Notamacropus eugenii: one gene and its partner. The protein of the gene in region 1 interacts with the protein of each later gene in a pairwise test. Links are inferred from orthologs where the notes say so. Each region holds a gene or a part of one and is shown in the gene's direction. Other genes may lie near its edges.

Evidence for each region.
Region 2: the proteins of ERCC6L2 (region 1) and CYREN interact in binary tests that used the Homo sapiens proteins (3 or more experiments, as listed by UniProt). The two-hybrid records come from large-scale screens. The link is inferred for Notamacropus eugenii from reciprocal best matches to the Homo sapiens genes ERCC6L2 and CYREN.

What each region holds. Positions count from the first base shown.
Region 1 is NC_092874.1:328,114,208-328,129,597, reverse strand, and holds the start of ERCC6L2 (DNA excision repair protein ERCC-6-like 2), read left to right. Parts: upstream 1-8,253; 5' UTR 8,254-8,632; coding exon 8,633-8,660; exon of another isoform or gene 8,661-8,827; intron 8,828-12,119; coding exon 12,120-12,544; intron 12,545-15,390. UniProt on the Homo sapiens protein: Promotes double-strand break (DSB) end-joining and facilitates programmed recombination by controlling how DNA ends are joined in a spatially oriented manner during repair.
Region 2 is NC_092874.1:114,681,439-114,696,625, forward strand, and holds CYREN (cell cycle regulator of non-homologous end joining), read left to right. Parts: upstream 1-6,769; 5' UTR 6,770-6,902; intron 6,903-7,359; exon of another isoform or gene 7,360-7,656; intron 7,657-8,474; 5' UTR 8,475-8,551; coding exon 8,552-8,694; intron 8,695-11,355; coding exon 11,356-11,431; intron 11,432-13,284; coding exon 13,285-13,521; 3' UTR 13,522-14,887; downstream 14,888-15,187. Other genes in the region: WDR91 (WD repeat-containing protein 91), read left to right, coding at 397-561. UniProt on the Homo sapiens protein: Cell-cycle-specific regulator of classical non-homologous end joining (NHEJ) of DNA double-strand break (DSB) repair, which can act both as an activator or inhibitor of NHEJ, depending on the cell cycle phase.

The sequences.
Region 1 (15,390 bases):
GTTAAGTGACTGGCCCAAGGTCACACAGCTAGTAGTAAATGTCAAGTGTCTAAGGTCAGATTTGAATTCAGGTCCTCCTGACTCCAGGGTCAGTGCTCTATTCACTGAGCCACCTAACTGCCCCTGATTCCTATTTTGCAATTTAACCTAAGATGTCTAGCACAATGCTTGGCACATGATAGCCAGTCAGGAAACATTTATTAAGTGTCTACTATGTGCCAGGCATTTTGTCTTTTTATCCTCTACATTAGTATGGTACTTTGTTTCATAATGGGTGCTTAAAAATGCTTATCACGTATATGATGCATTGATGAGGAATTAGAGTTAGGTTTAGGTTAAATATAATGAATCTACATAATGGTCATGTCCAAAAACATATGTCCTTAAGTATATCAACTCTCTATCAAGAAGTGAATGGATAATGGAATGGAAAAATGGTGAATGGAAAAAAATTCATCATGTATCTTTTGCAAACAGGGTTGTTCATTGCATTGATCAGAATTCTCATTTTTTTCAAAGTTGTTTTCTTTACAGCGTTGTTCATGTGTAATTTTTTTTGTTCTCCTAGTTCTGTTTACCTCTGATTCTGCTGTGGTGCTGTGATTCTGTGGCCCATGAAATATATTGCAAATTTAACAAGAGTTTTTAGCAAAGTATTCAGATATCATATGTAACACTCTTTGGAAAAGATATACTCATAGCTACAGAATGTACAAAAAATAGTTGTTATTTTTCCCTATTTGCTATGCCACATGCCAGAAATCTAAAAGAGAGGCTTAAAATGAAGCCTCTATTCTAAAACTAATTTTGTTTAATTTTGCATCTGATTGTTGAACTACTCTTTTCTTCATTTTCTCTATTTATTCTGCTATTCCATTCCATTTATCATTCTCCTGCCTTTCCCTAGGTTTGTCTTTTTCTTTCATTTCTTCCTTCACATGGATTTGAAATTAGTCCAGAGGAAGCAGCAATTTTTAAGTATCATCTTCCTGCAATGGTTCACTCCCCAAAAGAGCAAATGCTGATGAGCAAATTGAATTTTTGTTGGCACAATTTATCCTTTAAGTACCAATCTAGAAAAGGTCTTTTTTTTCAAATGAACCTGGAATGTAAGATGAGACGCTCTGGAAGGTTAGGAGGAATTATTTTTTCTAAGACTGACACTTTTATTGCCAACTGGTATTATTGTCTATAGTTTTATTTTATATCCAGGCATGTCCTAGAATGAGTTCAATCTCCCCACTTTTGTCAATCTTCTCTGTCTTCTGTATATTTAAAAAGGGATAAATTCACATCCCCGTGAATGTTCTTGAAATCTTTTATTTAAAGTCTCTAGTATTGAAAGTCCTCCAGAACCTCTACAGGTAATCCATTCCACTTCTGCATAGCTTTAACTCTTTAGAAGTTTTTCCTTACATTAAGTCTAAAATCTACCTCTTTCAGATTTTCATCCATTTTCCCTAGCCCTGCCATCAGTGCCAAAAGAGACCACGTTTCTTCTTTACTCAAGGTTCTTTCATCAACGTTCATAAGACATAAATTCAAGAAGCTTTTCCTCTGGGCACCATGTAGTTAATTAACGTCCTTCCTAAATTAGTATCCCAATATCCAGAACTGAACACAATACTCTTGATATGGTCTGACCAGGACTGAATCCAGCAGAACTGTCAACTCCATCTGGTTAGATACAACTCCTCTCTTAATGTACTCTAAGATTTAATTCTCTTTCTTTGGTGCCATATTATACTGTTGTTTCAGATTAAACTTGTGGTCTACTAAAACATTCAGATATCTTTCAGATGAATTGTATTCTAGCTATTCCTCCTCCATCTTGTATGTATGAAACTCATTTTTTAAACCCAAAGGTAGGACTTTATATTTATCCATATTCAATTTGATTCAAATTCTGCCCCATCAATATCTGTGTAGAACCTGTATGTTAGCTGTCCTTCTCAGCTTTGTGTATGTGATCAGCACATTTAAAATACAAAACATAAAAATACAGGAAAAATAGCCACTTAAGGAATAAAGTAGCTTCAAAGACCATGACCCCCTTTTACCAGAATAAAATGCCTGTTATGGACTCAAGAAAGTACTTTTCTTAATCAAAATTTATGATTTTATACTTTGGTCCCTAATGGCATTCTGCCATCATTATGTGCTACATGTACTATTATATATGTTCTCACTGTCATTGTGGTTTCGTTAGTTACCCCATTCCTGTGGATTTATCTCCACTTATGAAAGACTTTCAGGAAATGTTTTGTACCAACTATTCTTGCCCTACTTTTTTTAGTCAATCCCTTTTCTGAGAGCTAATTCATGTCTGCTGGTCATCTCATTGGCAGTCAATGAAAAACATACTGATGGGGACTCATAAGCCACAGTACTAAAAAACCAAAACAACAAAAACCAACTAGCCAAACAGTCAGACACTCTAGCTTTTCAGGATTACCCCAAGGATGCTAAAAGGAGAAGTAACACCTCTACCATCTAAGAAACTAGCCCTTAAGTGTAAATGAAGGTCAAGGGAATTGCTCTACGGGGACTGTTACAGTATAAAATGAGACCTGGAGGAATGATACTCTTATTAGGCTCTGGATATTCCCAGCTCCAGGAAGGATCACCATGACAATACTGATAAGGGTAGGATGAAATGATAAAAATTATGTGGATAAAAATGATTAGTAACAAGAAATTTCATGTAATTAGAGCTATATAAAACTAGAATAGGCCACCTTAGGAGGTAATGAATGTACAGTATTTTCTCTGGAGGACCTTCAAGTCAAGTTTGTATGATCATTTCTCAGGTAAGCTGGTACTGTGGTTCAAGGTATGTTTTGGACTAGGGTGCTTCCTATGTCTGTTTCAACTCTGGAATACTCTGAGTAGTATTTTGAAATTGTTTCTTTGCGCTTAGTGTCATAACAGGCATTAAATGAAGTAAACTAAACCAATCTACTAAAAAAAAAGCCATTTATTAAGTGCTTTTTATGTACTAAGCACTATGTTAGATTCTGGGGATACAAAAACAAAAATGAATTCCCCTTCAGGAGGCGAAGTAGGAGAGCAATGAACCTGCAAATGTACAAGTTATTGACCTCTAAGAGTCTAAAACTGAGAAACTTTAAATTAAAAATACAACTCTCCTTACAGTTGTATATGTTTGGGACCTGACTTTGATCATGGCCACCTTCCTAAGGGAGAGTCAGAAGCCACCAGGTGATAAAAGATAGTTTATAAAGGCTTCCTTCCCCAAATAATCCAAGAACATTTGAATTCAAATTCCATAAATAATTAAAGATTGTCCATATAGTCCGACCCTCTCACTTTACAGATGAGGGAACAGACCAAGAGAAGTTTTTATTTTTATTTGATGCAAACGTTGAGGTACACGGAAGGATTAATGGGTCAGCTTTGAATATTTAAAAGGGGGAGTCTGAAGTAAAGATAAAGGCAACGTTCCCAGAAATAGCTAGGGAAGTGTTAGCTCAGATCAGCCAAAAAATTGTCTGGATGAATGAGGCTTAGCAATTTGGACAGTTTTTAGTTTTGTTTCCATGTGCCAATTCAGCAATCTTTTATCTTAATTTTTAAAAATAGATTTACTACTGGGAAGAGAATTTCTTCTCTCAAGGTATCAAATGGGTTTTTTTTCACACAAATTATATTGGGGTGATATGAACCTTGATAAATTTTTGGTGAAGTTTCCATGATTGTTTTATAATATTATCATAGCTATCAGCCTAGTTACCTAGAACCTGTTGTCCTTAAGGGTATGGAAGGTGATCTTTACTTTCTTGGCCAGGAGAGGTTAATTTTTTGGATTATAAATGTAAATTTATGCCTACCTGCAGGTAAGATTCCTAGTTTGAAAAGGTTTTCACTACTTTTCACTGGGCAAAGAACATAGTTAAATGATGGCACATGCTTCCTGTGAGATATTTGCTTTTGAGATCAGCAATTTGCAGTTAAGTATTGAAGTGGTTAGACTAGGAGCCTTGGAATCAGGAAGACTCATTTTCACCAATCCAAATCTGGCTTTAGCCTCTTACTAGCTATGTGATCCTGGGCAAGTCACTTAATGCTATTTGCCTCACTTTCCTCATCTGTAAAATAAGCTGGAAAAGGAAATGGCAAACCACTCCAGTATCTTTGCCAAGAAAACTCCAAATGGGGTCACGAAGAGTTGGACACGACTGAAATGACTGAGCAACATGGATTTACTTTAACAGACAGGGGATCTTAGACAATAAAACCTAGGGAGAAATGAATTCACAGGGTTAGTAGCTCAGATAGGTATTGGGTAAGAAGAAGGTGGCTTTTCTGATTGCATAGATAGTAGGGTACTTTCCAGGGATGTACACATTGACAATGAGGTTGATGCACACATTGCCAGAGCTAGCTCAGTGTTTAAGAGGCTCCGAAGAAAAGTTTGGGGGAGAAGAGGTATTAGACTGACTACCAAATTGAAGGTCTACAGAGCTGTTGTGTTGACCTCATTGTTGTGTGCCTGGGAAACTTGGACAGCCTATCAGCACTGTGCCAGGAAACTGATTCACTTCCATTTGAATTGTCTTAGGAAGATTCTGAGGATCACCTGGCAGGATAAGGTACCAGACACTTAAGTCCTTGCTCGAGCTGAACTGCCAAATATTCAAACTATGCTTCAGAGAGTGCAACTCTGATGGGCTGGCCACGTTGTTCGAATGCTAAATGTATGTTTGCCAAAAAGACTATTTTATGGAGAACTTTCATGGGGCAGGTAATCACATGGCGGCTAAAAGAAACAATACAAGGACACTCTCAAGGTCTCTCTCAAGAACTTTGGATTTGATTGTGGGACATAGGAGACACTGGCACAGGACCGCTCAGCATGGTGTGCCCACATAAGAAAAGGTGCTGTGCTCTTTGAGCAAAGCAGAATTGAGATAGCACAAAGTAAATGCTGGATGTGTAAATTTGAGATACTCACCCCAAATATTCACATGGACTATCTGTGCCCAACCTGTGGTAGAGCACTCTGAGCTCATATTGGTCTGATCAGCCACAGTCGGACACACTGAAATTTCACTTTACAATGGCGATGTCATTTTGGCCCTCTTCAAAGATGAAGGACAACAACCAACCAACCAGATGGTAATCACAAGATAATAAGTTCTCTTTGGGAGAACTCTTCAGGATGGGCTCCCCATCATTTGAAGTCTTCAAGTCAGGTTTGACCTGTCAGAAAGTTTGAAGAGAAAATTTTTGTTCAGGTTATAGAATGGAACAGTTATCTCTGAGGTCGCTTAAAACACTGAAATTCTCTGGTTTTGAGTAGGTTGAATAATGCCATTTTCCCCCCCTCCCCATATAGTGCTAGCAAGAGCCAATCAGACGTGCAGTAGCAGGAGTGATTCATTTGTAATTGCTGAAATATTGTTTTGAATTCCACCTTTGACATTAGCTGTGTGACCATGGGCAAGACTACGAGCCTCAGTTTCCTCCTATGTAAAATGAGGACCAAGTAGATCAAAAGAGAGAATGTAGACTTTTAAAGCACTACATAAGTGCTGCTTATTAGTGTCATAAAACAGCATTTTAGTTTTGTGAGAAGTATTATGTCAGACTTATAACAGTTTTGCAACTCTAATCAAAAAATGTACCTTTCAATTCTTTTTGTAAAATAAAATTACAAATGTTATCAGATTTGCAGGATATACAATTCTCCTTTATCTACTATTGTGATATCTTTTTATCTCCATCTCCTTTGCTTCTGTCAAAGTTAATGAATAGTTTGTGAAAATTTCAGCTCACTCTGTAAAGTAACTGGTAAAATAAGGGCAATATAAATAGAAGACATCTGGAAGAAGTGAAAAAATTAAAGCTATGGCTATACAGTGCCAAAACTGGTCAATCATTGAAACAAACTAGTTTTTTGGCAGAGTACAGCAAATAAAAAAATCAATTTGACTGACTTTTGAACTTTTCGGTGGGTTTTATTAGGCATGTAGACAGACTAAATAAGATGTAAATGGTGAAAAGAACAAGTAACAAAAATAATTTATAAAGGAAAATTTATAGTCTACCTATATTCTACCTTTAGAAAGGATGCCTTAAAAAGTGCTTTAAAAGCTTCATCCCATACAAAAGGATGACAAAATGTGGAACTAAATTTTAATGCAGGTAGCAAGTTGCATTGCATAAACATACATTTTTTTTTTATTTTTTAGCATGTCAGCATGTCTCTGATGGCATGGTCTCCTTCCCCAAGGAAGGATGAACACACTCAGTTTGACCCAGTGACAGGTATCTGTCAGAGAAGGGAGAAAAATCAGCACTGTAGTTTTCTGTCATTAGCTGGAGAATGGACTTAGGAAAAACTTCAATACAGCCTTTGCCAGGCTCCTTTACTTTGAATTATACACTGCTACTTGACATAAATTATAAAAATAGATTATAGACTCACCTACAGAGACTCATACATTTTTGGTTTCCTTTGTGCTCCCTAAAGAATTTAGCCAGCTTTAATCTGTACTAAAAGGGGTGCGTGTGTGTGTGTGTGTGTGTGTGTGTGTATGTGCATACACTCGCTGGCATATGTATTGTAGGTAGGACAGATTCTCTTATCTTTGGTACCAAATTTTATAGTGCACGGATCAATGTTTATGATTTTGTGCCGTTGGCAAAATTAACTTGACAATGAGTCCTAGATGGATTTTTCACTGAGTTTTAAATTGAGTAAACAGGCAAAGAAGGAGAGTTTTTCTCTTATTTATTGGAGACAACTGTTGCAAAACACTTCTCTGATGCCTCATTCCCATTTAGAGTTCGAGATTCTTTAAAAGATTCTTCTCCTCTTAGCCAGGTGGAACACAAGATCAGGCAGTCTTAGTAAGGTGGAAAGGATTTGAGCAGGGCCAGTGGTGGAGTGTTGGACTGAAGACCAGACTGGTTAATATCGGAAAGATCCTAGGTCATCTGCAAGGTGAATAGTTTTTTGGCCACTCTTGTGGATAATTTAATAAGATTTGTGATCTGTAGGGGAGGAGAGAATTCCACTCATCAGTTCATAGTTCTTTTATGTATTGACTTCTCACCTTTATTCCCTCTTCTAAGTTTTGGATACTCTAGGGGCCAGTCTCCTGTCACTGGATCAAACTGAGTGTGTTCCTCCTTCCTTGTGGAAGGAGACCATGCCATCAGAGACATGCTGACATGACTTGCACTTGACTTTGTTTTAAGTGAGGGAGGGCTGTGCAGGTCATCAGCCCCACTTCTCCTCCAGAGCTATCTGAATCCAGTGACCAGCTATTCATCAGGATGACTGGAGATGACCCAGGATGAGGCAATTGGGGTTAAGTGACTTGCCCAAGATCACACAGCTAGTGAGTGTCCAGCGTCTGAGGTGAGATTTGAACTGAAGTCCTCCTGACTCCTGCACTGGTGCTCTATCCACTGCACCACCCAGCTGCCCCTACTGGGTCAATCTAAGACTGGGCACTAAGCAAAATGCTGGGCAAAGCTTTTTTTAATTGATAAATTTTGTTTCATCATACACTCTCCCCCCAAATCGTGACTGAACCAAGTATCCGGTACACCCACAAAACATCTTAAAGTAGCAGATCCCGGTGACTGACGGTACTCGCAACCTCACCCCATCATGTAGTTTATTGGCTGACCAGTCAAATGGAAGGTTAGGACTGACCCAGCAACGTCCGCTGCGTTTAACCTGATTTTTTATTTTTTTACCATTTTACGTACGTTACATTTTTCTTACGGCTTTGCATCACTTTATACACGTCTACATGTGCACATATTTTCCGGGTTCTCCAGTCTTTTCTTTTACTTTAGACCGAACCAGGGATTTCATCCTTGCGTCTGCGGGGAGCATCCATCCTTCATAAAGCTTTCAGGTGTGCAGGCGCTTAGCTACGACCTCATACGGTCATCCATCAGCACTTCTGGGCAGTCTGGGGCTGCCAGGGGCACAGAGAGCCTCTCCTCTCCTCTCCCACGACGCTCCATTTTACTCATGTCTCAAACATGTGGCGCAGACTTGGTTTCCACTTTCCGCGGCCGCCCGGTGACACTAGCGTCTGGTCCCTGAACCTGAAAAAAGAGACCCACCAGTTGGGAGGTTTCTCAAGTCCCGCGAGTTGTTACCAAGATCTCGCGGTATCACTACTGAGGTGGGGGGGGGGGGACCCGGAAAAGGGTTTCGAGAGGGATCGGGCCTGACCGTTTGCGCACGCGCTCTCGCGAGATTTTCCTAGAACAGGAGGGAATGAAGCGCTAAGTGGAGGCCGTGAGGGCGGGGCAGGCAGAAGAGCTGCTCAGAAAGCAGGTCCCCGCCCCTTTTTCCCCACCCTCATTTCCCCACCTGTGTCGAGCTCCAGCGGGGCAGTCGGGTGGGTAGTGAAGCTCGCCGCCCACCCGGAAGTTTGTTCTACCTCTTCCCTTCACCTCCCCGCCCCCGCACGTGCTCCCCCCTTCGCTGGGCTGGCTTCCCGGGGGAATTCTGAGCCCTGAGCGTCCTGCGTAATAACTGTAGCCTTAAGCCTCAGGTAGGACCGGGCCCGGCGGGCCCCTAAGTGCCTGGGACAGGTCGCTGTCCCCCTCGCCAGATGGCTCCCCTTGCTTCCGAGTCATGGATCCCCGGGGAGAAGCAGCAGAAGGTACAGGGTCTCACCTGAAAGGACTCGTATACTTACGTTTATTCCGTCACATCATTCTCCTTTTTGTTTTCCTCTGGATTTCTCCTCCCCGGAACATTTGACTTCAGCTTTGCCTCTTACAACTCTTGGTTTCCTTCAAATTTGAGTCCAGGAGTTTTTAACTTGGGGTGTGTGAACTTTTTGTTTTAATACGTACATAATATGTATATAAAGATATAGATAGATAATTGGTGTCCTTTGGATTACTATGTATATTACAGTGCATTTAAAAACAAGTGTGAAAAGAGGTCCGGAGTCAGTGACACAAAAATGGTGTAGAACCCCGGCTTTCACTTATGTGCCACTTTCTACTGTAAGGCTTGCCTGATCTCCCTAGTGCTCTCTCCTTCCCCCCAGTTCAACGTGTATATAGTTTTTTGTTTATATTTTGGATTCCTTTCATAGACGGTAAGCTTCTTGAGGATAGGGAAGTTTTGTGTGTATCCCCAGCATCTGGCTATGTCTGGCACGTTAGCAAAGGCCGCAGAGAATGATACTTTGTTGCATCTCAGCTTCAGAGGCTACATTGCGTGCACAGTCATCTGCAAACAGAAAATCATGCACCACCGCTCCCTCCAATTTGGTCTTGGCTTGTAGCATTTTCAAATTGAACAGTTTACCATCAGTACGTACCCGTGTTCATAATAAGTGCCTGTTATCTGATTGACATGGCAGAGGGTCTTTCACATAGAAGGTACCTAATAATTCTTATTGGATTGGAATGTTAGGAAGAGTGATGAATTGAAGGGAAAAGATGAGTTCAGTTTTTGACACGTTGACTTTGAGATGTCCAAATAGAAATGTCCAGCAGTCAGTGATGTAGGACTGACACACAGGAAAGAGGAGACAGCTGGACATATATGTTTGTGTATATATATATATATATATATATATATATATAGAGAGAGAGAGAGAGAGAGAGAGAGAGAGAGAGAGAGAGAGAGAGAGAGAGAGAGAGAGAGAGAGAGAGAGAGATTTGGGAATGAGCTTTTTAAAGAGGATGTTGGAACTGGTGGAAACTGAGAACAACATGAGGAAGACTGGAAAGAGAAAAAATGAGGGGCTGGCATAGAGCCCCAGATGTACCCACAGTTAAGGGATAGAAAAATGGGAAAGATCAGTCAGAGAAAAGGACAGTGTGCCTAAAACCTAGGGGAGAGAGTGTGTGTCTTTGTTGGAGTGGTAGGTAGCATTCTAAAGTGGTGTGGAGGTCATAAAGGGTGAAAACTGAAAAAAGGCCATTGAACAGAAATTAATAAATGTTAGGAGAGCAATTTCAGTTGAATGATATGATTGGAAACCATATTACAAGGGATTGCGCCAGAATTATGAGTCATGTTATACGTGATTTATATGCCAAAAAAAAAAAAAGCTCAGATTCTTACTCAACAGACTTCATTGGCTCCCTATTGCCTTTAGGATTAAATATAAAATCCCCTGTTTAGCTTTTAAAGATCTTCATAACCATATTCCTTCCTACCTTTTCAGTCATCTCATATTTTATTCCTTCTATTCCATGTACTCTGTGATCGAGTGACACTGTTGGCCTTTACTGTTCCTCACACACAGCATTCCCATCTCCCAATTCTCTGAATTCTCTCCCTCCTCACCTATGTCTCCTAGTTTCCCTGGCTAACTTCAAGTCTTGGCTAAAGTCTTGCTTTCTGCAAGAAACTTTTCCAAGTTTTCTTTAATCTTTGTGCCTTCCCTTTGAGACTGCCTCCAATTTATTTTCTATATATCTAGTTTGCACATATTTATTTACTTGTTTCCTTCATTAGACTGTGAATTCTTTGACAGCAGGGGCTGTTCTTTTGCCTTTTTTTAAAATCCGTAAGTGCTTATGCTTATCACAGTTTCTGGCATATAGTAGGTGTTTGTTAAATCTAGTTGACTTAGCTTTGGCCATTATGTAGTTAGTATCTTACTAACTTATATGCTTATATAATGCTTATATATTTTCTCTTTCTAGTGCTCTGTTCTCCAACCAAACTAACCTGCTCTGTGTGTCATCCATAGGACACTCCCTCTCTCTTCTGTCTGCATTTGTACTGGCCATTGCCATACCTGGAAGGCACTTCCATATCTTCTTCACAAAGCTTTTCCTGATTCCAGCTGCTGCAAGTGCCCTCCCTAACTACCTTGTATTTATTCTGAATTTTTTTGCATTTTTTATACACACACTTTTTTTTTCTCTCGGTAGAACATAAGCTCCTTGAGAGTAGAGTTTGTTTCATCTTTTGTTTATATTCTTTCTTAGTGCCTAGCACATAGAAAGCATTTAATAAATGTTTGTTGACTGATTTTTGTAGTAACCTTTTTGGCAGAGAGCATATCAGTTCAAACCTAACCAGAAAACTTTTATTTTAAACTTAATTATTGAAACTCTTTCTTAAATGTTACTGTTCATTTTATTGCTGAAAAATCAAGCTGGCTAGGCCTGGCTGCTGCTTCTCTTTCCAGTCCAGGTGACAAGATAACTTGTCAGCAAGACAGAGAGCATGGTTAGGTTTCCTGGGGGTCAGTCTTCCTGAATCCAGGTAGCAAGATAGTTGTGTTTAAAAAATAAGCTAGCAGTTGAGAAAGCAGTGGAAAAGTGACAGGTGACAGTACAGTAATGGCAAGTTTTTCAGAGGAGGAAAGGAGGAGATGGTCGGCTAGGGGTTTGAAGATGAAGCTTCTATTCACTGAATTTCAAGATTAATTCCATGTTTACTATTTCCATCCTTGTGCAAATAGCCAACTTTCTAGTATGTTAGTTTAGTTAGTTTCTTATCCTTTGGTTATTATACAACTTATTGTCTAATTGCATCATAGACTGCACCTAATACGCTTATTACCCCTGACCTTCAGAAGATTCTCTTACTTGTTACATTGCCCTATAGCAAGTCTTTACACATTTTTCTTATATTTACACCAGTTCTGACTACAAGTTTCTGCTCTTTTGGGTAGGAGGGGATGGGACTATATTCTGATTTGCATATCATTGTGGTTAGCATTGTGGTGTTAAAATGTGGAGGTCTTTATGAGTACCTCCACATCAGTCAGCATCCACTATGTCTGAAATTCCTCTAGGCTGCTATGGTTTTTTTGGTTTATTCTCAATGCATGGTCTTGTCTTGAAGAAGCTAGTGCTTGAGGAGTTGAGCTAAAATTTAACTTGTAGAATCATACACGTTAGAGCTAGAAAGGACCTTAGAAGCCATCCAATCCAATGTCTCTTGTTACAGGTGCATAGTATGAGACCAGGAGTATACTGGTCTTATACTTACTCTCAGTCTATCACTTTTCCTGCTGGGCTGCAAAGACTGCTCCACAGTGTCAGATAAGTGAGATGTTACTGAGTATCCACATGGAAATAGGTATGTCTGTTTTATTATAACAATTTAAAAACTTTTTTCCTTTATTTATTTTTTTTAGATATGTGGCACATTGGAGAAAGATGTCTCGTCCCTGTCACAGACAGTGGAAAGCTTCGTGAAGCAACAGTGAAATCCATCATGACAGATGAAAATGGAAAGTCATTTGCACTTGTGTTATTTTCAGGTTCGCTGGAAGAGAAAGTACCTTTAAAAAAACTCCATAAAACAACATCTGGTAAAAGTTCTTGCAGAAGTTTTTTGTTTGATGATGTTGACTTGGAAAAGCCTTATTTCCCAGACCGAAAACTTCCATCACCTGCTGTGACTTTTAAGCTATCTGAAGATGGTGACTGTATTCCATATACAATTAATAGATATTTGCGTGACTACCAGAGGGAAGGAGCCCAGTTTCTGTATGGACACTATTCCCTGGGAAGAGGATGTATTCTTGGTGATGACATGGGACTTGGAAAAACAGTACAGGTATTTATTCTTTTGTTCCTGCAGTAGTTAAAATAGTAATGTTCTGATCTAGCTTGTTACTTGCAGTATCACTGTGGCAAAGGCAGACACAGAAGTTACTTGTATCATGACTTTCACATAAGTTTCTTAATAAATGTTTGTTGAATTAATAAGTGAATGAAGTGTGAAGTCATTTTATATCCATAGAGTTACCCTAAGGAGGGACAATGTTCTTACCCATTCTTTGAAGTATTAAACTAAGGTTAGATTATTTTCCCAAGGTCTATTGAATAGGTTGCTTAGAATTTGAACTTTCTTGTATCTTGCATTCCCTTGTTAGTTATTAAAGAAATATTTATCTGGCTTACGGCTTATTATCTTTCCCTTGTTTTTTTTTTTCTCCCTTCTTTCTCCTAACTCTTCATTGTTCTTTCCAATTCCATATTAACATTTTCAATTTAGCAGAACACTGAGGACTAGCTGAGTTTTAAAACTCCAGTTAGTAACAGAATCTCAGATGCAAAGGACCTCGTAAAACATTTGATCCACTGACTCCTGATCAGAATCCCCCTTACAACTTTGCTAACAAGTGCTCATCCAGCCCTCAGTTAACATCTTCTGATACTATCTTTTGATGCAGTCTATTCTGTATTTGGATGATTTTAGTTTATAACATGATAGATTGAGAGCTGAAAGGGACATCAGGGGTCATCTGTTTAACCTCTTCATTTTACAAGTGGCAAACAGATCCAGGAAGTAAGCCACTTGTCTAAGCTTGCACAGATAATTGTTGAAAAGTATTTTCTTAAAATGAACCAAAATTTGCGTTTGTAGTTTCCACCCATTGCTTCTTGTTTATTCTTTTGGGGGGCAAACTGAGCAAGTCTAATCCCTCTTCTGTGTTATAATCCTTCAGATATTTTAAGAGAATATCATAGATTTAGAACAGAGAGAGACCTTAGAGGCCATCTCGTCCAACCGCCTCATTTTGCAAATGAGGAAAGTGAGGTCCTGAGAAGTAAATAAAATGACAAGAGCCAGAGAGCTAAATCCTAGGCTTTCTTTGAATACATCATGCTTTTCTTTTCCGGTTCCTTTAACTGAATTTACATGAAGTACTTTGGAGGCCCCTCACCATATTGTGGCTTTCTTTGGATGCTATTTTTTCTCTTTAAATGTCTTATTGATGCTTTTTTTTAAACATCAGGGTCACTTCTCAGTGCTACCCCTCATCCCTTCCAACTCTTCTTTGTAATTGTTGTCAAACAAAAGAAATTAGCCCTTTGGTAGCGTCTGAAAGCAAATACCTCATTTTATAATCAGAACAAAAAGTGGGAGGAGGTCGTGATTGGTCTTTCAGTTCTTCTGATACAACATCTCTCCCACCTGTGTTGTCTTTTTTCTCCAATTATAAGTTTACCACCCTGGTTCAGGCCCTCATCACTGCTTGTCTGCACTATTGAATTGGTCTTCTAATTGGTTTCCCTAATTAAGCCTTTCCCTTTTCTATAGACTGTAAACTTCTTGCAGTCAGGAACAATTTCATTTTTGTCTGTTTCCCCAGTGCCATACACAGTGCATAGTGACAGTTTAATCCGTGCTTGTTGACTGATTAATGGTCTCCTCTGTCTCTTTCCGGTGATTCTCCCCTTAACCTTGGTTCTGAAGGTACCTGATCTGGTTTGTTCAGACTTTGTTATGGTATGACCTTTTTAAAATTTGGGTCATGCATCCATCTGAGCTTATTGTGTTACATGATGTAAGATCTTAACCTAATAGCTACCAGATTGCTTTTCAGTTTTCCTGTTAGCTTGTGGCAAAAAAGAACTCCTCACAGTATTTTATGCTCTTGGTTTTGTCAAACACTGGGATACTTTTTTCAGTTCCTTATTCAGTTATGTACCACTAATGTTTTTTTTCTGTTTTCTAGCCTCTATTGAATAGTGTTATGACTACTGATTTATGATATAGTCTCATCTCTTATAATGCTATTTCTTACCATTTTTCTCAAGAATTTCATAGGAATTCTAGATCTTTTGTTCTTCCATATGAATTTGTTATTATTCTGACTGGTCTAAATAGTGTCCCCTTGATAATTTGATTAGTATAGTACCGAATGTTAATTTAGGTAATAATCATCATTTTAATTATATTGACATGACTTATCTGTAAGTAGTATCTCCAGTTATTTTAGTTTCGCTGTATTTCTTAAAAAAAAAAAAAAACAAAGAAAGAAAGATGTTTTATTGATGTCTTTTGTCTTTATATTGGTCATTCCTTCTACCCCCATTAAACCCTCTCTTACCCCAAAGAAAGATAATTAGGCAAAAACTGAAAAAAAACCCAACTCTAATGATACAAAAATTTTATCAGACATATAGGAGACATAATTTGTCCTTGTAGTCCCTCTATCCATATCTTTTGAGGGAAGTTGAATGTTCCTTATCTCTTCTGGTGGCCTAGTAGGTGAGTACTGGGCCTGGAAATGGGGACCCTGAGCTCCAGTGCAGGTTCAGACACTTTTAGCTGTGGGGCCTTAGGCAAGTTACTTCATTTCTCTTTACCTTAGTTTCCTTGACTGTAAAATGGGAATAATGATAGCACCTACCTTGCAGGATTGCTTTGAAGAGTAAATGAGATCATATTTGTAAAAAGCATTGTACCTGACACGTAGTAGGGAGTGTATAAATACTTATTTCCTTCTTTTCTCCTTCTTCTTCTCTAGGGCCATCACTGATTTTTCCTTTTCTTTTAGCTATCTTTTCATTTACATTATTGTAGTTGATGTGTATGTTGTCTTCCTGGGTTGTACTTATTCTGCACTGTATCAGTTTGTAAACATTTTTTCATATTCCTCTGAAGTCCTC
Region 2 (15,187 bases), about 210 Mb from region 1:
CTACTGCTTATAAACACGTAGCAAATCTTTTACCAGGATAGAAATCTCCTGGTGAAGTGACAAATGCTGGAATGACTTTTTTCTGAATTGTTACCAAAAAGCATGATACACTTCCAATTTTTGTAAAATAATCCATTTAAGCTATAAGCAGTAATCCTTTATGGTTGGAGGGAGGGAGGTGACAGTATATATCTAATCTAGTCAGCCAAACCAAAGTACTCGGGGATCCAGGCATGCTTATCCTTACTCAGGTTAAGTATGCCTCTTCCCAATCTAAATGAGGTTTGGCAATTTAAAATGAGCTGTCCAACTTTTCCCTAAGGGTTTCTTCATTTCCGGTGGCAGTCCATTCCAGAGATCTCTTATTTGTCTCTTTTTTCTTGTCTTCCTTTGCAGTTGAGCAGTGATGAGAAGGTCTTGGAGAGCTGCCTGAGCCTCGGGGGTCACAGAGCCCCAGTGGTCACTGTAGACTGGTGCACAGCCATGGACTGTGGCACTTGCCTTACTGCTTCCATGGATGGCAAGATCAAGTTGGCAACCCTGCTGGCTCAGAAATTCTGATGGGACACTGAACCAGGGAAGCATTATAGAATGCTTATGGAATCAGTATTAGCATGAGGTTGAGATCACGGACTGGGAAAGAGGAGATAGAGAGAGACTGGCAGGTTTATTACAATAAATTGTCAGCTAGCTGGGGAACATGTGGAGCAGGAGGCCAGAAAACTATTGGTCCAGGATACGCACAGACTCTAATGTTGCCCCAAGCTCCCACTGGACTATTGCAAGTGGCTCAAAAAGACAGATTTCTGGTGACTTTTGCTCTGATTCCTGTGAACCTTGACAGTATTTTGTGTATAGACAGTTCTTGCTTTTAAGTAAATGAACCCTTCCGCAAAAATCTACTTAAAGCGATTTTTCCATAATGCAGATTTGCCATGGACACAGGGAAGGGAGGGAGAGGAGCAGGAAGGACCTCCCCCCCAGCACCTGTGGAGGGAGGCGGCCAGCACACAGTTGAAGGACTCATGGGGCCAGAGACAGAGAAGTGAGAACAGGGAGGAACATGCAGGGGTCAAGGCCAGCTAGGTGAGGTCCTGGCTGGAACCAAGAGGAGGAACACTTGGGAAGCAGACAGGTGGGGTCTGGACAAGAACACAGACAGGAGAGGATGGGAGCCAGAAACAGATACATGGCTATCCAGGTCAGGGCCGGGGACACGTGGGTGCTTGGAGCATGGCAAAGATCTTCTATCTTGGTGCCAGGTGTGGCAGTGGTGGTCTGCGTGTCTGTTCTCCTTTTGCTTGGAGGATTGGGGTATTGGTTGTTTCTTGGTGTGTGTGGGGGGCGTGATGCCAAGGAGCAGGAGCAGAGAGAGAGCAAGAGAGAAGGAACATAGTACTGTACAGTTAACACAAGTGTTTTCTGGGATGTGGATTTCTTTCAGAATTTTTTATATAAAGTCAAATTTGCATAATGTGAATTTATATAAAGCAAGAACTTTCTGTATATTTATACATTTCTTTTCTCCTCCCTTTCTTAAAAGAATATTGTTCTCACTGAGGTGTCTTTCTATAGAAGTGGAATGGAAAAGAAGCTCCTTCAGTGAGTGACCCTTGGTTGTGATCCCTTTACATTATTCAGAAAGCAGAAGTATTGTCTTGGGAGCTTAACCGTCTCCTTACTGCCCCAGATAGAAGCATTAAGACGAAACATGGTAGTGTGGTGTATAGTGGATAGTGCTGGGTTTGAACAGCAGGATGGTAGTTTAGTCCTGCCTCTGATGTTTACTATCTGTGTGACCCTGGGCAAGTCACTCTGAGCCTCAGTAACTTATCTACTAGCTTTTAGATTGGTGGCAGTCTGTATGAGTGGGGGATTTCACACACTGATGAAATCTCAGATCTTTAAATATGTGTGTTACATAAACGGTGAACTTTCCATAGTATCTGTCAGACTAAAGAGGTTTGAGGTGTTGGTTTATTATAGAGGTGAGGCTGTTTATATAACTCACAATCTATAATTACTCACTTGCTCTCCATTCCACATGTGCACCTGTCTATATATATGTTCTCTAATGCCACTTATACTTTGGACTATCCTAGATGAAAGGTTTATTTTTCTGCTCACAAAACTTTGTGAGGGGATGTAGTTTCCTCTCCTGTGGGAAAGAGATGTATAGCAGATCTAAGGCGGACCTAAGACCTTTGGCTTGTAGCTGCCTATCTGTAGCAGACCATGGTACCTGTTTTCCCAGGACTGTTTCCACTCAGCCCCATGATTCCATGTATTCCTGTTGGTGGTTGTCTTATACCTGCTAGCTCATGAGGATCAGTAGCACCAGGACTTGCATTTTGATTCTCCTAACCCCCATTTCTTGTGTGCAGATAGAAGAGTACTGTCTTCACCCATTTGCAGTTAAAGGAATAGAGGAAGATGGTGATTTGTCCAGATGGTGAAATTCGGTGGCAGAGCTCAGACTAGAAGCCAGGTTTCTTGTTGCCCAGGTGCTGGTACTACAACTAACTAGTTCAGCAACTAACAGTCATTAAGCAAGTCTGATTTGTGTCTTTGAATTCCACGTTCCTTAGTCAGGCTTATAGTCCCTTCATATGCTAAAAGTAGAAAACAGTTCCCTCCTCCTCTTCCCTGGCCTGTGGGCCAGGGGAAATAGCCCAATGGTACTGTTGTCACAGCTATTGCAGTGAGGAGTGAAGTCAGCAAGTCCGGAATTTGTATAGATGACTGGTGAAATAATAATGATAATAGTTAAATGTTAAAGTTAAAATGTTAAAACATTAAAGTTTGCAAAGCACTTTACATGTGTTCTCATTCAGTTCTTACAAAGTCTCTGAGGGTAGGTACAATTGTTCTCTCCATTTTACAGATGAGGAAATGGACCAAGAGAGGTAACTTAGTAACTTAGCCCAGGGTCACACAGCTGGTGAATGTCTGAGGCTGAATTGGAACTCAACTTCTTGACCCCAAGTCTAGAGCTCTTTCCACTCTCTACCTGGTATTGCCATTGAATTGGCTCCTTAAAGGGATCAACTGGGAGGTGACGGCTATTGAGGCTGACAAGGCATATACACATCCACCCTATCTCTCCACTGCCAGAGGTTGGGCTGGTTCTAACTCAGTTCTGGGGCTGGGCGGTGCCTCAGGTTTCATTGCCTCTTAGTTATCCATGCTCTTATGGCTACAGGGAAATGGAGAACAAATCTAGGGCTTTGTCCTGCTTGGGGAGGAGGGAAAAGTGAAAGAATTTAAATACTGAACCTGCATTTGAGCAAGCTTGAATGTGAAGTGGAGAGGCGTATTCCATTTCCTGGATATTAGTGGGATGTTGACTATTGACCACCTCCCTCTTGAGAATACATTCTCTTGCCTTCTTCTTGAAGGACACATTCACATCATACATATTCTGATTCTTCCCCCCACCCCAAGTGTAGGAAAATCAAGGGAAGATATTTTCTTTTGATAATTTTTTTTTCCCTTCCCCTTTGTTGAAGTGGTAACTGTTTCTGTCAAGGCCCCCCATCACCCTCCTTGTCTTAAAACTTAGGTACTACTCTTGATCCTTCTTAACCTCCCTCATCGAAACTACTCATCAACTTCTTTTCATTTCTCCTTGATAGTCTCTCTTGAATCTTCCTCCTCCCATTTGAAAAAAAAAATCCCATTTGCCTTAGTTTATCTGTAGCTAAGAAAACATGGCATATTGGGTAGAGTGTTAGCATTGGAGTCATGAAGATGTAGGAAATCTCGCCTTTGAAGAAGATTACCTGTTTGATCTAGGTTGAGCTACCTAACTCTCAAGTCTCAGGCCACTTATTAACCCCTACCAAGTTATTGACAGGTTGTAATGTGTATTGGTGTTTCACTGATAAACCACAGATCCTTCAGGCATCCAGTCAAGTGGATGTGCCATCTTGAGAAGAACAGTCGTGTATTTCCATTCTACACTCCCCTTTGGGTTAACCCCTCCAATCCTACCTACTGTGAGAGCATCCTGGTTCAGACTCTCATCTATCACCTTCTTCCTGTTCTATAATCTACACTGCACACTGCTGGTTCACGTCTTAATGGGGCTTGCAGCTCCGTCCTAACTCCTTTGTGACTTCCCATTACCTACTTATGTTCCTTAATACTGGTTTTGAAGACTCTCTACAATCTGATGTTAAGAGCCACCTTTTCCAGGCTGCTGAACTGGGCTCATTTTCCATTCTTGTTCTTCACTCTCCTGTCTCTACCTCTTCAAGAACCAATCTCTTATCTGCCTCATGAAGTCTTCCTTCTTGGATTCCCCCACTGCTTTCCTTCAGATATCTTGTGCCCCCCCTCCCCCTTTGTTTTATGGTGAGAGAGGGACTCTTTGCACTTCACAATTCTGCCTTGTATTACAGTCCCTAGTCCCTTATCTCCCTTCCCACTTCCCTTTTTTTAAATGTGTAAGCTCCTTGTGAGCAAGGGCTGCATTGTTTTTCACATTTGTATCTCAGTGCCTTGCACTTAATAAAATCTTAATAAACAAATTGAATTTATTGAATTATGTGACTGATAACCAGTGGCTTCACAGGGCACTGAAGGATGGCAGCTTCCAGGTACGTGTATTGAAATTCTTTGCATTGCCTAAGAAGTTTAATCCTGAGGGGTTTTGTGTTCTGGTTCAGTAAGAAACAAAAATGTTTTGTTTGGCAAACACAGAGTTAGTCTTACCTATATTCACAGATGTTAAAACTTGCTTCCGTTCCTTGGGGTGCTATTCTATTTTAGGGGATTAGAAAGCAGCTCCCTCTGAGGCAGCTAGGTGTCCTGGAGTCAGGATGCCCTGAGTTCAAATTTGACCTTGGAGTCTTACTAGCTTTGTGACCCTGGGTGAATCACTTAACCTCTGCCTTAGTTTTCTCAACTGTAAAATATGGATTAACAGCATCTACCTCGCAGGGTTGCTGTGAAGATAAAATGAGACCATATTTGTGAAGGCCCTTTCTAACACTTATCCCTCACTCCTTCCCCTTATTTCATACCATAGTTGCTTCGGTGAAGCCTTTGGAACTGTGTTTCTCTGGCCAAAGTATACTTCAACCCAGTGAAAAATCCAAAATTTGTGCAGTGGTTTGCCCTATGAAGCTTAAAATATAAGCTTCAGGGCAGGAGCTGCCAGGAAGTAAGGCCATTGGCTTTTGCAGCTCAAATGTCTCAAGCCCTTTGAAGAGCAATTAATATGCCTGGCTCCTTCCAATCCTGGAACTTAAAAAGAAGAGGTTGGGGAATCCAAGATACAAACACAGTTTAATGGCACTGAAGCTGCCTTCCCACAGCAACACCATACCTGTCATGCTAATGATAATCATGGAATTTGGTGGGCTATTCATTTTACCCCAAGGCAGAGGCAGGAGATTGGGGTATTCCAGTCCTCCCTCGTTTTAGAAGGAACATCAGGAAAAAATAAATTATGAGATAAGTTTATGATGAAATTAATAATTAATAAAGTTTAGTGAAATTGCTGTTTGTCTTTCGTTGTTGGAGAGGACCATGACATCAGGAAGGTGATGCTGTGGACTTGCAAGTGAACTGGATTTAAGTGAGAGAGGGCTGTGCAGTCACCAGCCTCATTCTCTGTGGAGCCTTCTGGGTCCAGTGGCAAGACAGAGATCAGGACAACTGGTGATTTGGACATTTTTTCCACCTGATTTCTCTATAGCATAGAGAATAGAAAACAGTATAATTTGTAAGTTTTAAGTGTGGCACTATTGGCTGAAATGCTTTAGATTTTTGTAGAGCATTTTGTGTTTGTATTGCTAAGATTTCCTATGGTTTTTGCTTCTGTTTTGTAAAATCTTTCTTGAGTCAAGAAATAAGAAACCCCTGAATTCTGATATTCAGCGTTGCCTGAATACCTACGATGCTCAGTTACTGGATGCTGGTAGTGGTAGGAAGGATGTAAAAATGAATACGGTGGCAGCCAACCCTTAGGAAAGATGATTTATCCGGATAGGCGCAGTACAAGCCCGTATTTCTCCAGTGTCATGTAAGGGGACTTGTAGCTCAGCTCAGTCGTTTCCAGTGCTGTCAGACTGACCCCATTTGGGGTTTTCTGGGCACGTCCTGGAGTCGGTTGCCATTTCCTTCCCCAACTGCTTTTACAGACGAGGAGAGGAAGGCAAGCACGTGACTGGCTCAGGGTCACACGGTGCTCCTGACTCCGGCCCCAGCCCCCCCCCCCCCCCCCCAGCCGGTGCGAGGAGTAAGTGGTGTGGAGGACTTTGGACAGCTTTGGCTGCCAGGACTAGAGGGTGTTTTGGTGAAGTCCGAGCAGAGCGGGGGTGGGTGAGGCACGAGTAAAGGGGAAAGTGAATGGAGGCCTCGTCAAGTCCCGCAGAGCTAAGCTAGGGCCGGACCTCGGGAGGCCTCGAATGCCGCGCCAACGAGTTTGGATCTTCAACCGGTGGGCAACGTTTGGCAAAGCACCGAAGGACCGAAGGCTCCTGAGGGGAGTGACAGCCAAAAGAAACGTACGCTTGGGGGCCCAAGGAGTCTCCGGCTTTAGACTGAACGGCGCCTCCAGGCCTCGCAGAGTCCAGTGAGGCGGAAGGCCCGCCCCTTCACCTGGGAGGAACTCCCCGGAGGGGGAAGTGGGCGTGGCTCCCGGAAGCCGACGCCGAGGGTGGGGGGAGGAGTCCGCGGAAGCCGCACGGCCTCGTGTCCGCCGGCAGGGGGCGCCCCGTCCTCAGCGGCCGGAAGCAGCGGCCGCTCGCTCCTCGGAGCGGAGCCGCGACCTAGAGCCGGGCGGTGGAGAAAGTGCGGATCCGGGCGGGGTCCCAAGCCCGAGCAGCGTGGGAAGGTGTCGGAGCGGGGCCCAGGCTGAGCCTGCCCCGGCGTCGGGGACAGGAGAAGGCCGAGTAGGTGCCGCCGCTTGTGCTGGTTCGGGCCCGGGCGGGAGCCCTGGCCCTCCTCGGGACGCACAGGAGACCCCCACACCGGGAGCGGGGTGCTGGGCCAGACGGCTCCCGGGCCTTCCCGGGCTCCTGCCACAGAGGGCATGGGGCGAAGCCGCCTCCTGCGGACTTAGCGCCTCCCGGCCCACGTGACCGCCCCGAGCGAGGCCCCCGATCGTCGGTGGGACCGTGGGAGGGCAGTGCAAGCTTCGTGGGAAGGCCCGCGGTCCGGTGCCGCGGGCTCGGGCCGGACCCTAGGAGCGGAGGGTGGGCCCCCGAGGTGCCGCCCTCCGAGGCAGCCGGCACCGAGCAGGCCCCCGCTGTGGGCGGAGCACCGGCGAGACCCTGCCCTGTTTAACTCAGTAGGCCTAGGGCTGACTAACTGGCCCCATTTGGGGGTTTCTCAGCTCCTTCTGCAGCGTAAACTGAGGCAAATGTGGATAAGTGACTTGGCCAGGGCCACACAGCTAGGAAGTGCCTGGGGCAGCATTGAAGGCCAGTCTTCCGGACCCCTGGCCCAGCACTCCCTCTGTGCCAGCCAGCTGCCCTTACCTTCCGGGCATGGGGAAGGCAATCTCAGATCGAAGTTGTCGGGGAGTTGTTGGCCCAGGGTGTCAAGGGACCAGGCATTGGAAGAGGCCTGCAGAACGGAGGAGCTGAACCAGGTCTTGAAGGAAGCCAGGGAAACTTCCAGGAGATGGATATGAAGAGTGAGAAGGTCCTAGGCACAGACAGGCACAGCGAGGGAGTTGGGAGGTGGAGGTTAAGATTCAGCTGAGCAAACTTTCATTGTGTGTTGAGGGCATTTTTCTAGGGCCGTGGAGGCTAGGATTTCACTAAGGAGGTAGGACTGGGTCTTGCTCTTAAAAGATCTGGGAGAAGAGATTGAATTCAGTGAACATGTACAATTCCCCGGGCTAGTTTGGGAGGGTGGACCGAGAATTTAAAGACATGGTCCTTGTCCGTGAGCCACTGGTATAGTAGAGCCATAAACTCTAATAGATAAAAGGACACGATAAAGTCTTTTTAGGAAGAAAAGTGTGAACCTAGGAGTGGAGGCAAGAATGTTATGTTCTGAGACTAGTCAGTAGACCAGTTTGGCTAGATCTAGTGCCTAGAGCCTTAAAAAAAAAAAAAGACAGAAATCTGATGTGTTTAGGTAAACCAGAAGGAACCAGAAGAGAGAGAGAAAGAAGATACAAAAGAGGAAATGATTGATGGAACCAAGTCCCAGTCAACAGATGGGATCACTGAATCTTACACCCAAGGCCTCCACACAGATAGGGGACTAATAGCCAGATAAGCCCAAATGGAATCTTTTCCATGAAGTTGTCCTTCGTACAGTGGGCCAAAGAAGATCTCGTTTGAGCTCCCTCATCACTTTGCTATATCTCTGATGGTGCTTATTTTACTTGGGAGCATTGTCAGTCAAGATCACAAGCAGTCATTTTATGGGTCAGGCATTGTGCCAAGAATACAGACAGATTTGGCTTTTGTTACTCTGACAGGTGGTTCGTTTTTGCTGTTTTGAAACAGGGAGGCCATCAGTGGGCAATACATTTATCTGCGACACTTACCTGGGTCCTGAGCACTCTGCCAGGGAGTCTGGAGAGATGGCAAATGCACAGTGTGAGAGTAAAAAGAGGGACCTTCCTCCATGGATGACAGCCCAGGTGGCTGTGAGAAAATCAGTGCCAATGTGGAGGCCAACTAAGAGGAGAAAAAGCACAGTGCAGTCAGCACATGCATCATCAAAGTGAGTTTTTGCAAATTGCGGCTGCATAGCAGCAAAACCTTTGTGGTCTAGGGTCCTTTTAGTTGAGAATGAAATGTAACAGAAGGGTAAACTGAGACATATTTCTCTGAGCAAGATAACATTTTATTCACAGGGCATGAAACCTGAGAATAAGGTAGGTCAGTGTCTGCCTCAGTTTCCAGGTGGAAATCCAAAGTAAAAGGAAAACTTTTCTTTCGTAGGTTTGGGAAGTACAGAAGAAAGAACAGAACAAGATAGGTGACATCATGGGGTTGAGGGCAACATGATTGTTACATAGCTGAGGCTTGGGGAACAACATAATTGACTGGAAATTTGTAATGAATCCCTCCTCTTCCCTCCTGAGACTAAGAAGAGTTCATTGTTTGAGTTCGCCTGCAAGGTCAAACATACGGACCCACACTTCCTTGGACAGCAAATCAGACATTCTTGAAGGGTAGCATGGTGGTATAAAGATAGTAGGCCTGATTCCCACATCCCCCAAGGTTAGCAGTATTCCTTGAAGCAAAAACAGAATAGTGATTAGTGAGAGATCTGGATCTCTAAACTTAACCTATTACAGACTAGCTAAATTCTAAAGGAAATGCTACAGGATCAGTTTTCATCTTCTCAGAGGGGTAGTGGATAAAAGAACTGGGGGACTTTGTGGTTAAGAAGCTAGGTTCTGTGGACAGTAATGTGCTCAGAAACTAGAGAATGACTTTCCATGATCTGTTTCCCTGATCCACTGGCCCTTCCAAGATTTTTCCCCTACTCTTTGAAACATTTATTTTTTGTTCAGTTAAGAAAAATCTATTTTTCTCCTTTGCTACCATTGGAAAAAAGAAAAAGAAAATCCTTGTAACCTGCATAGACAAGCAAATCAAATTCGCTAACTGGCATTGTTCAGACAATCTGTGTTTTAGTCTGTACCCTGAGTCCATTACCCCTCAGTCAAAAGGTAGGCAGCATTCTTCCATTGTTTCTGGAATCATGGACAGTCATTGCACTGATCTCAGTTTTTAGGGTTTTTAAAGTTATTTATTTATCAGTTTTGTTATTGTGTAAATCTTTCTCCTGGTTCTCACTTTACTTGAAATTCATACAAGTTTTCTGAGATTTCTCTGAAACTGTCCTTTTGTAATTTCTCATGGCACAATAATATTCTGTTACATTTTTGTACCATAGTTTGTTCAGCCATTCCCCAGTTGATGGGCACCCTCTTAGCTTCCAGTTCTTTGGGATCTTCCTCTTTCTTCATCTATCAATACTCCTCTGTCTAGAAGGGAAACATTCTTAGGTTGGAAGAAACCTCCAGAGTGTTCATTCATTCCTGAGACACCTATATTCCTATTCAGAAAAACCTCATAAGTAGGAGAGTTCTGGTTCCTTCACAGCATTACAGAATTTTAGAGACATCTATAGCCCAAAGCTCTATACCCCGCAAAACATTTCCCACTACAACATGCCAGCAGGTCTTCAGCCTTTTCTCGAAGACTCACAGTGAAGGACTGCATGTTTTCTCCCCCATTAGAATGTAAACATCTTAGAGAACAAAAGGAAATTCAGAAGGACATCCAGACCAGCAAGGTAGACTTGAAATTGATGTCTTGAATTTATTACGGACTTTTAAAAAAGAGCAAACTATTTATAATGAAGATTCGTGCAAGTGCAAATCTCTTTTTTCTGTCCTTTGTATATGGAAATGCTTACATTTGTTGGTGTTTGTCAAATGCCAAATTTGTCAAAAATAAAAATTATTTTTAAAAAAGTAAGCTCCTTGAGGGCAAGGGCTGTTTTTGCCTTCCTTTGCATCCCTACTGCCTAGTACAGCTCCTAGTACAGGCCTTAATAAATGCTTATGGATAGATTGAAAGGGAACCCACTGCTTCCCATTCCACTTGTGAACAGTTCTAATTGTTAGGAAGATTTTCCTGTTGAGGCTGTGTTTGTCTCTTTGTGTTCCCCATCCATCCTTCCCAGTTCTACCCTCTGGGGCTGTACTGAATAAGTCACATCCCTTTTCCATCTGGCTACACTTTAAATGCTTAGAGCTCTCTCTCAACTCTCCTCACACACATATACCCATATCTCTCTGTCTCTCTGTCTCTCTGTCTCTCTCTCTTTGTCCTCTTTCTCCCTCTTTCTCCCTCTCCCTCTTATCCCTCTTCCCCAGGCTTCTACCAATCCTCATTCACTGTAGAAAATATTTCATTAGCATATACTGTGTAGGAAAACTGTGACCTGGTGAAGATGTAAAGGTAAATGAGATATGGTGACTTCCCCTTAGTGCTTTTTAGAGAATCAACTCTCATTAGAAAATGCAGTGAACACTGATGACAAACCAGATGTCATCCAGGACACATGGTTAATTGTGTTATTTTTTATTGCTTAAGGAACTTAATATCACTGTTGTGTGTATATGTGTCTTAATTGTATCAATTGAATGTATGAGGAAAGGCAAGGGCTTAAATTCCTTCATCTGAGAGCCCTAAGCTTCAAATCCTTTGTGGAGCAAGCTATTCAGATCTAAAGGATGTGTATAGTCTCATTCATGGCAGACAGGGCTGGGGGATACACAATCCTCAACTCCAGTTTCCTGTTTGTGTGTCCATCTGGGACTCACTTTGCATCCATCTTTGCCTTTGTTTCTTTATCTTTCAGTCTTCCCTCTATACGAACTGTATACTTCATGAATGAAGCCGAATTGGTGGATGTTGCTTTGGGTATCCTAGTTGAGGTAAGATCTTTTATTCTAGTGGATCCCAATTCGTGTCTTTGTGAACAGAAAACTCCTGAGAGTAGGTTTGAGTTCTTTAATGTTTAATGTTAATAAAAAATAGATAATAGCATTTCTGATTACCTCCATATGATCTAGTTGGGGATGGGGGTAAAGAACATTTATAAACACCCATTATGTGCCAGGCACTGTGTTGAGTAAGCACTTTACCAATGCTGTCTTTATTTCATCTTCACAACAACCTTGGGAAGTAGGTGCTGTTATGAGAAACTGGCAGACAGAAGCCAAATGACTTTCCCAGAGGCACAAAGCTAGGAGGCATCTGAGATTGGATTGAAACTCATATCTTCCTGACTCCAGGCCCAGCATTCTAGCCAGTGTGCCACCTAGCTTCCTGGTCTAATGTCGTGGTCTCCAAATGGTTTTTGATCATGCAGCTCCCTTAGTAATTTTTTTTTTCCTCTTGTGGAGGAGTGGGGTGATGTTTGTAGTGTTGATTTTCCTAGTGGGATCTGCCCAGCTGGTGCTGTGGATACTGCTCTGAAGCAGCTCTTAAGGGAAAGGATTTCACAGCTCTGGGAGGGGTGAAAGGATACAAGCTGGGTGAATGGCAAGTTACTCACCTCTTTGGGCCTCAGTTCCTTATTTACAAAATGAGGAAGTGGGTTTAGAGCAGAGATTCTTCAACTTTTTTGTAGCAAGGACCCCTTTGGCAGCCTGATGAAGCCTATGGACTTCTCAGAAATAGGTTTTTAAATACATAAGATAAAATTCATAGGATTGCAAATGAAACTAGTTATGTCAAAATACAGTTATTAAAATATTTTTAAAAACAGGTTCAGAGACACCAGGTTAAGAACCTCTGGACCTGTGAGTAACCTATAAGTCCTTTCAAGCTTTCTTAGTCTTTGACATTTATTTAATATATTCTCAATCAGTCAGACTTCTCTCCCCCAACTTCCCACATGTAATACTGGTGATGATGATGATGACAGCTGACAGTTTCTTAGCACTATAAAGGTTTGCAGAGGGTTTTTCTGGCATTCAGTGATTTGGTCCCAGCTGCACCCCTGTGAGGTAGAGAGTGTGTCATCTGTATTTCTCACAAGATTCTAAAACTCAGCCTCATAGAGGTATTTCTTGCCCATAGACAGCTAGTGTCAGATGGGATTCCTGAATCATGTTCTTCCTGACTCTAGCCCAGTATTCTCTCTCTATTGCTTCATGCAGCCTGTCACCACATTCATCTTGCTGACTCCTCACCCACACTTTCTTCTGCCCACTGTGTTTTTGTGTCCTCATACAAACATGGGCTAGGGAATATGGATGTCTGTGTGGCCTAGCCATTGACTTTGTCATCGTTGTGCTATTTTTGTGTAGGGAGATAGAAAGGAGTGGAAGAAGGATTCTGCTATTGTGTGTGTGTGATTTCTTAATGGTCTGGAATGAGTGCTTAGCTGCTGTTCCTTCCCTCCTTGAGTTCCTTTGAAGTTCTTTGACTCTGCTCATTCAAGAAGAGACCTACCTAATGAAATTATTTCTTCCAACTTTACCCTTTTCCTTCTGTTTGGGGCTAGAAGCTTCACTTCCTGAGCAAACTCTTTCCCCCAGCCCTCTTCTGTCCTCTCTCTAGTACTGGCTTCTCTGCAGAACTATCCAGAGGTGTATATGGGGTGGGGAATGTGGGGGTGGGGTAGGGGAGAGAATGTGGGTAGGTATGGAGGATAGTGAAGGGAAGGGAATGACTCATGATCCAGAAATTACCCTAGACCTGCAGGATTTTTTTGTCCTATATAAACAAACTAGGATGTCAGTAAAAAATAGTGTGCTTATCTTTTTTCCCCCCTCTTCAGTGCCGTAAACAGGAAAAGCCTTTGGAGCACACATTGCTGCTGGGAACTGATAAGGCCCAAACCACACAACCTGAGTCCCCCTGGGCTTCTGAGAGCAGTAGCAATGAAGAGGAGGTGAATGATGCCCCTCCAAGAAGTCTCTCAAGCAAACAGGAGTGTTCAACCTTCGACCACAAGAAGAACTCAGAAGAGGATGAGGATGCATTAAAATATGTGAGGGAAATATTTTTCAGTTGAGAAGATGAAGAATTCAGAGAACATTTTGGTTTGAGTATGTTGGGATGGTTCCCAGCAGGGAATGCAGTGCTGCACCGTGTCCCCCGTGCATCCTTGGAGTGAGGTCTCTGCATCCCAGAGCTTTAGCCCTGGTCAGTGAAATCAGGGCAGTCTAAGCTGGTATTGAATTGATGGTGTAGTAGTGAGCAGTTAAGTCTGTGACCAAGAAAGTCCTCACAGTTAATTATGGGGGGAACTCTACTTTGTTGTTAAGCATTTCAGGCCTATGGTTCTGGAAACTGGTCAGCTGATCCAGAGGGTAATCACATTGTGGGGAAAAACTGACTCACACCAAATGCATACAAGACTAACGTGTACCAGAGAGACAGTTTATAATGGACAATGGAGGAAGGAGACAGATATCCATGCTGGACAGTTCATATTTTATTTTCCTTGCAGGAAAGCCCCCTTTGGGTGTATGGATCAGATTCAGAGCTTTTGGCTTGGCCCCAGCTACAAAAGCAGATATTTCAGGTGGGATGAGAGAAGAGGAAAGGATTAGGTCAGGTGACCTGCTACTTGTGTCATTGTTGCACCATGAGGCAACTGTGGAAAAAGGAGGCAAAGACCTACCTACCAGCACCCCTGTGGGGAATCACCTCATTATAACAAGGGAAATTTTGAAAAATGGGGAGGATATCCCTGCCTGTGCAAGCCACCTTCCTAGTATTTTTAATCACAGTATTTTATATGCACTGGGAAACAAAATTGTGACTTGCTTTATTGTAGTAGTCTGGAACTGAACTTGCAATGTCTCTCAGCTATGCCTGTACACAGGATTTCCTCCTTATATTAGGTAGATATTAATGAGTCATTAAAAAAAATGCTGAATCCTGCTGTGTATATTCTTTAGAAAATAATTATTCTTGTAAGCATATGTTCTTCTCAATTAGTGTAATGTTAATTATGAGAGTTAAAGCTCTTCCCCACCCATTAATGGAAGTTTGATTAGGGGAGATTTGTTTTGTAGAAGGCCCACACTTTTTGTTAGTTTCGAATGAGATACTGGTTGGCAAGGGTGGTGATGCCCTCTGGCTCTGAAAAGTATATAAATACTCTGAGGTGAGGTTTTACTTTGGGGCTTACTCATTGGAAGTGTTTGGTCAGACGAGACTCTGGGCAGCTGCTAAGGAGCCCCCCTTTCCCCCCAGCTGTGAAAACCCAGATGTTGGTGCTTCTCTCTCGCTTAACTATGTGATCAGACAGTTGGCAGCCCTGTCTTGGTCTGTTTGTAATTTGCTTGTATTTTCCCTGAAGTTCAGGGTGCTTTCCCCTAAACTAAGTGAATGATACATGTGCTTGATTAAAGTAGATTATTGACCCCTCAGAAGTTACTTTCCTTTTAGAAAAGTGGATCTAAGAACCTGTACAGCAGGCCCTCTGGTTCTGGAAACTGGTCAGCTGATCCAGAGGGTAATCACATTTTGGGGAAAAACTGACTCACACCAAACGCATACAAGATTCTATGCCAGGGTTCTTGCTGATGCAATTAGACGGACAAATTAACACTTGATGGTAGTGCATATGTTTTCCCCCTCCTCCTGTAAAGCTGGCAGGTGTTTTAACATGTACAGAAAAATGTTACATATTTTCTTATAACCTGAATATTCAGAGACAGTCTCCACAT